2 linked regions of the Xenopus tropicalis genome follow. The protein of the gene in region 1 purifies or fractionates together with the protein of each later gene. This does not show direct contact. Links are inferred from orthologs where the notes say so. Each region holds a gene or a part of one and is shown on either strand. Other genes may lie near its edges.

Evidence for each region.
Region 2: the proteins of cd40 (region 1) and birc2 purify together in Homo sapiens (affinity purification with western blotting; 4 studies listed by BioGRID and IntAct, with this or other methods). This does not show direct contact. The link is inferred for Xenopus tropicalis from reciprocal best matches to the Homo sapiens genes CD40 and BIRC2.

What each region holds. Positions count from the first base shown.
Region 1 is NC_030686.2:20,127,399-20,131,966, reverse strand, and holds the start of cd40 (tumor necrosis factor receptor superfamily member 5 precursor), read right to left. Parts: upstream 2,952-4,568; coding exon 2,901-2,951; intron 1-2,900.
Region 2 is NC_030678.2:162,212,156-162,215,976, forward strand, and holds part of birc2 (baculoviral IAP repeat-containing protein 2), read right to left. Parts: intron 1,116-3,821; 5' UTR 616-1,115; coding exon 1-615. UniProt on the Homo sapiens protein: Multi-functional protein which regulates not only caspases and apoptosis, but also modulates inflammatory signaling and immunity, mitogenic kinase signaling, and cell proliferation, as well as cell invasion and metastasis.

The sequences.
Region 1 (4,568 bases):
CTCTGCACTCTCTCCAGCTCATTAATATCCTTCTTAAGGACTCTAGCCCAAAACTGCACTGTATACTCAAGGTGAGGCCTTACCAGGGACCTATAAAGGGGCAAAATTATGTTCTCATCCCTTGAGTCAATGCCCTTTTTTATACAAGACGGCACTTTATTTGCTTTAGTAGCCACAGAATGACACTGCCTGGAATTAGACAACTTGTTATCTACAAAAACCCCTAGATCCTTCTCCATTAAGGATACCCCCAACACACTACCATTCAGTAGATAGTTCGCGTTTATATTATTTTCTACCAAAATGCACTTTGCACTTATCAACATTGAACCTCATTTTCCAGTTTGCTGCCCAGTTTTCCAATTTTGTCAAATTGCTCTGCAAAGCGGCAGCATCCTGCATGGAACTTATAGTTTTGCACAATTTAGTGTCATCAGCAAAAATAGAAACAGTCCTCTCTATGCCCACCTCCAGGTCATTAATAAACAAGTTAAAAAGCAAAGGACCAAGGACTGACCCCTGCGGTACTCCACTAACAACACTGGTCCAATTAGAAAATGTTCCATTTACCACCACTCTTTGTAATCTATCCTTCAGCCAGTTCTCTATCCAATTACAAATATTATGTTCTAGGCCAATATTCCTCAATTTGATCATTAAACCTTCTGTGAGGTACAGTATCAAATGCTTTAGCAAAGTCCAAGTAGATTACATCAACTGCCATTCCAGCATCGAGGTTCCTACTCACCTCCTCATAAAAGGCGACTAAATTAGTCTGGCAAGATCTGTTACGCATAAAACCATAATGGCACAAACTTATAGTATTGTGAACTGCAATGTATTCAAGTACCCTATCCCTTATTACCCATTCCAAAGGTTTTCCTACTACTGATGTTAGACTAACAGGCCTATAGTTTTCAGGCTGAGAACGGGATCCCTTTTTAAATAACGGCACCACATTAGCAACATTTCTAGCCATTAGGCTTTATTTAACACACAAGTATTAGATATTTTGCAATTGTGTGTTCAAATACAACCCAAAAACAACCATAAGTGCTAAATGTGTTTAAAAAAAATTCTTTTTACAAACAGAGTTTTTATTTACACATATGAAATAAGCTTTCACCACTATAACTGCTGGAAAGCAATAGTTAGGGGGCTTACCTCATTTATAAAGCTGGTACAACTAATGGCTGAATGACAAAAGTAAAAGATGTAGTCCCATACCACATGCAGAGTTCGGGAAACCCATATTGGGGGTTTTTTTTAATAACCAGGTCCAATGCCAGGACCGCAAACTGTAAAAACTCTGTGTTGCTGGTCCTTTAAAGAGAGATAATTAAAGCACTTTAAAGAAATGCTGGAATTTAGGCAGGTTTGTCAGAATTAAACCTGCCTAAATGCTGTGTTTACCATATTGTGTATTGGTCACTCACTTCATTTGTGCCACCAGAGAGTGGGTCCTGAAAATCTGACTCCCCAGTTGCATACATTGAAGAAAAGAACTAAATTGGCACATTTTCTTTTCACAACCCCTTATAATCAAATTATTTCCGTGTTTTATGGAGTCACATACCCAAACCATTCTTTTTACTACTGTTTTTAATATATTTTTAGGATTAAATTTTGCTTGTTTTAAAATAAGTGTCTGTCCCCTCATTTTTTTAACCACTTTCCTCTTCATTACTATTAACTTCATTAGTTCTGAGATAAACCACATATTGTTTAAGGGAATGTGCCCGGCCAATGCTGTATTTTATATATGAAACTTACATTAGTCTTTATTTTTATTAGCTTTTCAATTTTGTTTCTCTCCAGTCTGCTACTGCAAATGCTATCTGGTTGTTGCTAACCCAGGCAACCATAAAACAGACCCTCTAAAAGGCTTATACTTTATTATTATTATTATTATTACTTTAGCTTTCTGTTTGGTTCCTTGCTTACTGATCTTTCATTTCCTGTTGCTGCCTGGTTGCTGTTGTAATTAATCCCTAGCAAACAGCTAGCAATCAAATTTTCAAGCTTAAAAGCTGCAGAACATATAAGGATATAAAATAAAAAGTGTATCTGTTAATTGTCTCAGAATACTGCTGTTTACAGAAGCTTTAAAACTACATTTAGTTTTAATGCCTTTATTTGGCTATAATGTTTAAAAAAATCCCAATAAAAATGATTGAAACTAAAACTACATTTAGGATAAATTAAACCCTTTAGAGCTGTGGCACACAGGGAGATTAGTCGCCCACAACAAATCTCCCTTGTATATGACATCCCACCGGCGAGAATGTAAATCGCCGGTGGGATATCATACGCGGCGCATATGCCGCATATGCCATCCCATCGGCGATTAAGGGAGCTTTATTTCTCTCTGTATGTGTTCAGGATATATAAAACCAGAGGCTTACATACCTTCACTGCATGCTTTAAACTAATGGTATTTTCTGTGAAGCAGCACTTTTCACAGATGATTTCAGTATTTATGCCATATTTGCTAGTGTGCTAGTAGTCTTAGGGAACTGTTTATAGAGAGACTCTCATAGTTCCCCATTCTATCTTTTTGTTCCCCATGGGCGATCTGCAGAATACTTTCCTGTTTCAGCTAACCACCACCATGTACAGTGATCATATTTATCAAATATAAAAACCTACACATTTTTTATCTCTTATGTTCTGGAAAACGTATAGTGGTAGTAGGAACACCATTCCAGACTAATAATGCTTATTTGTACAAAGTGAAAGTAAACAGTAGTAAAACACAGACTGTAGAAAGATGTGACTCTGCTTTTGTGCGCAAGAGAATAACTGACAGAGAGTTCACAAAAACACACACTGTTCTGACTTCTGAGACTAACAATTTTAGTTCATTTTGGTTTGTTTTTAGTATTCCAATCTTCTCTTACCTTGTGGCTGCAGCTCAGAAGCAATAGCAGAAAAAGCAGCAGAAATCTCATTTTCCAGCAGAGACTGCAATACAAAGGCAGCAATTACAAAATGATATCAGCTACGAATCCTTGGGTTTGTTTTAGTCCGTAGAACAATTGTCCCTGGAGTGCTAGCTCAGCAGAACAGATGCCTTCTTTAGGAGTATCAAAGGAAAGCCCTTAGAATATCAAATATAAAAGCAGTTATATGTGCAGTGTCCCAGTCTGTACGGTCAGACCCGCCCTCTGCTGTATTCCAGAAATACAGAACCAGTTTGTGAAAGTGAAACTGGGGAATTACACAGGAGGAACTCTGAGCAGAGAGGGTGGAGGGTTCCTGTCTGGTGAGCCTGTAATTTAACTCTTGATTAGTTATACGGCATGAAGCCTAATGATAACTACGGAGTAATTCATGAAAAAATATATAGTATTTTGAAGCTGCCTGTATCACAAAAGGAAATTATCGCTGAACTTTTATCATTTATTGTTTTACTTTTGTAAGCAGGGATCACTAGGGTTCATTTTCCATTCCTCCCAACATTTGAAAAATTTAAAGAGGGACAAAAAGAAATGCAGGGCGTAGCATGACAAAAAATGTTTGGCCATGCCCATTTTTGTGACCACATCCCCTAAATGCCAATGCTATTTTTACAAAATTTGGCAGGTTATTTAAAGTTTGAACACATTTTTAAAGGTTTTAGGGTCTTGTTTAATGTGTTATTACATTGCCCTTTAATCTGTAAGTCTCAGTTCCCCCAAGAGACCTATTTAGCTTATTAGTTACAATTGTATCTAAGTACAGGTGTTGCTTGTTAATCTTTCTGGGCTCTCTTCCAAAAGCTACTTATTTAAGTTTGAGAAACGTTGTATCTTTTTTAGCATTCAGTGCAGGAGATCAAAGTGAAATGAGGGACTTTTCAGTAAGAATCCGGGACTGTGGGCTGTTAAAATCAGAAATGTCCCGCGAAAATCGGGACAGCTGGGAGCTATGCAATAACTATGTGTAAGGTAGGATGCAAAATGCAAAAAAGAATGCAATCTGACGTATTTTTTGCATTCTGCAACCCGCTCTGCACACTAACTTTATTTCTGCAGGTCTTTGTAATCCAAAAAGGATAACAGAGGCCTGTATCTGCCCCTATATATACAGTTCTGAGTTTGGTAGCACTGTATTTATGAGGGGTGGAACATAGGGTTACTAACAGGCTTGTTGAAACAACTTGCTTATCAATTAAAAAAAAAAAAGGGATAAGTATATTTTCTTAACTTTATTCAAAATCATTGTGTTGTTTAACTGTTGTGTTTATTTCTTTCAAAAGTATTTGCTGTTTTTGGTGCTAAATTACAAAGTTTGGTGAACTATAAGGCTTACAGCAGGTTTGCCAGAAGTTGCATTCCTTTATTACCCTCGGTTTGAGGTAGGTGGGGTTTGATTAGTTCACCTGAACAGACAGTATAAATAGAACCACTGGCACTCCAGTGGAGCTTGCTCTGGTGGTTGGTGCTCTGTAAGTGATTGCTCTTTAAGTGGGTGCTCTGTAAGTGGAGATATAAACCACATGAGTTACAAACTAAGGGAGTTTCAGACAAAGTACAAAGTTTGTATTTATTTCAAGTCTTTTCACATATTTTTGTTTAACTGTTTCT
Region 2 (3,821 bases), on another chromosome or scaffold:
GGCGACTTTGTCTCCGGGCCCAACAAAATAAAAGCCAGCTTTTGCGAGTTCAGCAGGAGTAAGGAACATATTGCTCCACTCTTGGAAACTGTTAAGCCTGGCTTCTTCTGTATACATGTATTCACTGATCCTGACGTGCGACAGATCCTCAATGCCCCTTAGCGTGACTGGATCTTGGGGAATGCTACTATATTTCAAAGTGATTGCCTCAACTTTGTCATTTTCAGCAGAAGCAGCAGGCATGGATGTACTGTTGGAGGCAGGTGGTGAGAAGGCAGAGTACAGAGATGCGCCAAGATTCACTGAAGGGACATTCTGAATAAAACTACAGCTGGGATACAACTTTTTGTGCTTTTCAAATGCATTGTCACCTTTCTTCCAATTATCAAGCATCAAGCCGCAGGTAAAGCACTTGACCTTGTCATCTTGCCCGGTGTAATAAAAACCAGCTTTTGCAAGGTTGCGCTCAGACACATGTGTATTGCTTGGAAAGGAGCTAAATGTAGAGAGACGGTAGAGTTCACATGAGAATTCCAAGGTAATTTTGCACATGCTTGGGTTTGACTTCAACCTCTTAGCAAGGTCTGGGCGTCTGTCCAAAATCTCATTTGCCATGGTTTGTGAAAGGGAAGGAAGGGGGCATCTTTCCTAGGGAGATAGTTACTATATTATCAGTTACGTTTCCTATTCTGCAACACAGTTCTAATAAAAACATGCAGTGAATGCAAAGATTTCAGTGCTACTGAACCACATCTAGTTAGCCAGCACAATCTTATGGTGGCATGCACACTGGGAGCTCTTACTTCTACCTACACTCTATTCTTTCTCTTATATACAATTCAGGTAGGATAGTAAAACGCTAGCTCTTCAGTGCTAAGATCTTTTTTAAGTTGATTGCTACATTTCATTGTAAGAAATACTCTATAATCCATTATGGCCATAAATGCTACGCTTTCTGTATTAACTATAACTAAAGTGGTGGTATTTAGTACCCCTAAGAAAGATGCCCCCTTCCTTTTGTAAGGGTTTAGCAAGCCATAGTATAATGTAAATAGCAGTAGAGAAAAACAAAATTCTTCTCCAGATCACCGCATTGGTCGGTGAGACATCAGCACCTAGAGGAGTGGGCAAAAGACTCTGAGTTAGTTACGTTTAACATATTTGTCCTATAAAAGGGTATTAATTAACAATGCTGGAATAACATATATTTGACAAATTATCAGATTTACAATCTCCAGCTCCAATCTAATTGTATTAGTGCCAACAGCTGCAATTCTTATTTAGGCAATTGCACATGGGGATTTGTGATCACAATTAAAAAGTCAATCTAAACACAAGTGTTCACGTGTTTAACCATGGGACTGTCAGCTGATGACAAATGTAAACAACACCCCAGCCTATCAGGGCTTTGTGCTACCCTCCTAGTGCCACGTGGAGAGACGCTGGGTCAGTCACCAACACAGGCCAGTAATGGTTTTCTGAGAAAGTCAGATAGTTTATTAATTGGATAGTAACATATTTCTAACAAATGTGGAAAAATGTCAATATCCCTTTACAAAGAAAGACTTTGACACTCGACTTTTTACATGCAACCACACCTTTTTTAACTTTTTTAACTTTTTTTTTTGACACACGGCAAACTTTTTCCACACCGAATTTCGCAAAAAAATCTGCCAATGGAAAAATGCAGTTCACCATAAATACATTTTCTGCAATGATATATTTAATCAGGACAGGACATATTTAATTACAGGTAAAGGTTATAACTAAAGGGTAATTTTTACCCCTGGTCCCACTATCAGTCAGAATACTCATAAACTAACTAGGAGCCCGTGCAGAGGCTCATAACTAACTAGCAGCCCGTGCAGAGGCTCATAGCTAACTAGCAGCCCGTGCAGAGGCTCATAGCTAACTAGCAGCCCGTGCAGAGGCTCATAGCTAACTAGCAGCCCGTGCAGAGGCTCATAGCTAACTAGCAGCCCGTGCAGAGGCTCATAGCTAACTAGCAGCCCATGCAGAGGCTCATAGCTAACTAGCAGCCCGTGCAGAGGCTCATAGCTAACTAGCAGCCCGTGCAGAGGCTCATAGCTAACTAGCAGCCCGTGCAGAGGCTCATAGCTAACTAGCAGCCCGTGCAGAGGCTCATAGCTAACTAGCAGCCCGTGCAGAGGCTCATAACTAACTAGAAGCCTGTGCAGAGGCTCATAACTAACTAGAAGCCTGTGCAGAGATCATTTAGGCTACAAGGTAATCTCATCCCTTATATTCCCAATATTAAAGGAGCAGTGAAACCCCCTTATCTGTTGAGGTGGAGGGGTTTACATCCAACTTTAGATACATTGTTAGAGCAATGCAGCCAGTCCCCTGGCTTGGGGAAAGGCACAGTGTACAAATCACATATGCATTTTGTGCATTCTCTCTAGCTATAAATTTTACCGTTTGGGTCAACGTCCCCTTTAACAGGCAGCCCATGGTGTGCTGCCAATAAACAGGAGTGACACTGCCATAAGAAACACAGCTGTCTCCCCCCCCAGAGAAAAGAGTTTTAGGCATGATGATAAAATCTAATATGTCTCCCCTCTCAGTGCAGAACTCAAGCACAACTTTACATTGCAGATTTCCTATGGGGCCCCAGAAGGGAAAGCCTGCAAACGCCTATCACGAAAGGAATGTGCTGCTGCAATAGCAAAAACAAGATCCCAAGCTCCTACGACCCACCCTACTCTGTTCCATACTCTGCCCGTAGAAATGGCTCAGGTTTTATAAACATACACGAGGCGATTTCGCTCGTTGTGCGATGAACGATTATATCGACAAACGATCGTATGGCGATCGAGTTCCCATACGATATGCCATCCACGGGCAACGATAATTCGGGAAAGATTTTGTCGCATCATTATCGTAAAATACCTACGATCGTACATCTACGTACGATCGAATGTCGTTGACTTCCGCTGCTGGCAATCGTGACATGCGCAGAGAACAATCGTTGAAAGACAAATGTCTGACACTCACACCAACTGGCAGATTTTATCGTTAAACGACCAAAATTTTTAAACCTGGCCGATCGATTTTGGGGACGATAATGTCGGCTCGTTTAGTGGGCCGACGATCGTTCGTACACCACCAACTATACGATAACTTAACGATAGCATCGGATCGTTCGCGAATCGGTCGTTTGTAAGTAAAAAATCGGTCCGTGTATGGCCACCTTTAGGGTGAACACACACTGGGCTACTAGTAGCAGCTACTTTTTCAAGGCTACTAAACTCCAGAAAATCCCCTGCCACAGACAATACTGAGAATTGCCTCTGCTAAAACTCACGTAAAGACAATTATCAGAGTTCAACCCAGATCCTGACAACCCACTCACAGCATTACATGGGAACCTAATTGGTTCATTGGAAGCACTCCGTAATGCACCGTATAGGAAAAAGAGGGACATAATACCTCTTCCAGAAGTACTTACTACCCCAATGACAGCATGGGCTAAATTGATAAAGCAAAACAGAGTAAACATCAAGGGTCATTCACTACAAATGCCACTATGGAATAATACTAACTTACAACACTTTAAGGAATTGCCTGATTTCCAATACTGGCCAGCCAATGGGGTAAAATGGCTCTCGGATGTGCTAATTAATGGTATCTTTGTCCAATTCAATATACTCAAAGAGAAATTGGAGAAGCCAAACTTGCAGTTTTATAGATACCTTCAATTAAGGCACGTATTCAAAGCGCAATTTGGTTCACTAACAATTGACACGAGCTCAACCCCATGGGAAATAAGACTCTGGGATCCGGGAGGGAAGAAACTCCTC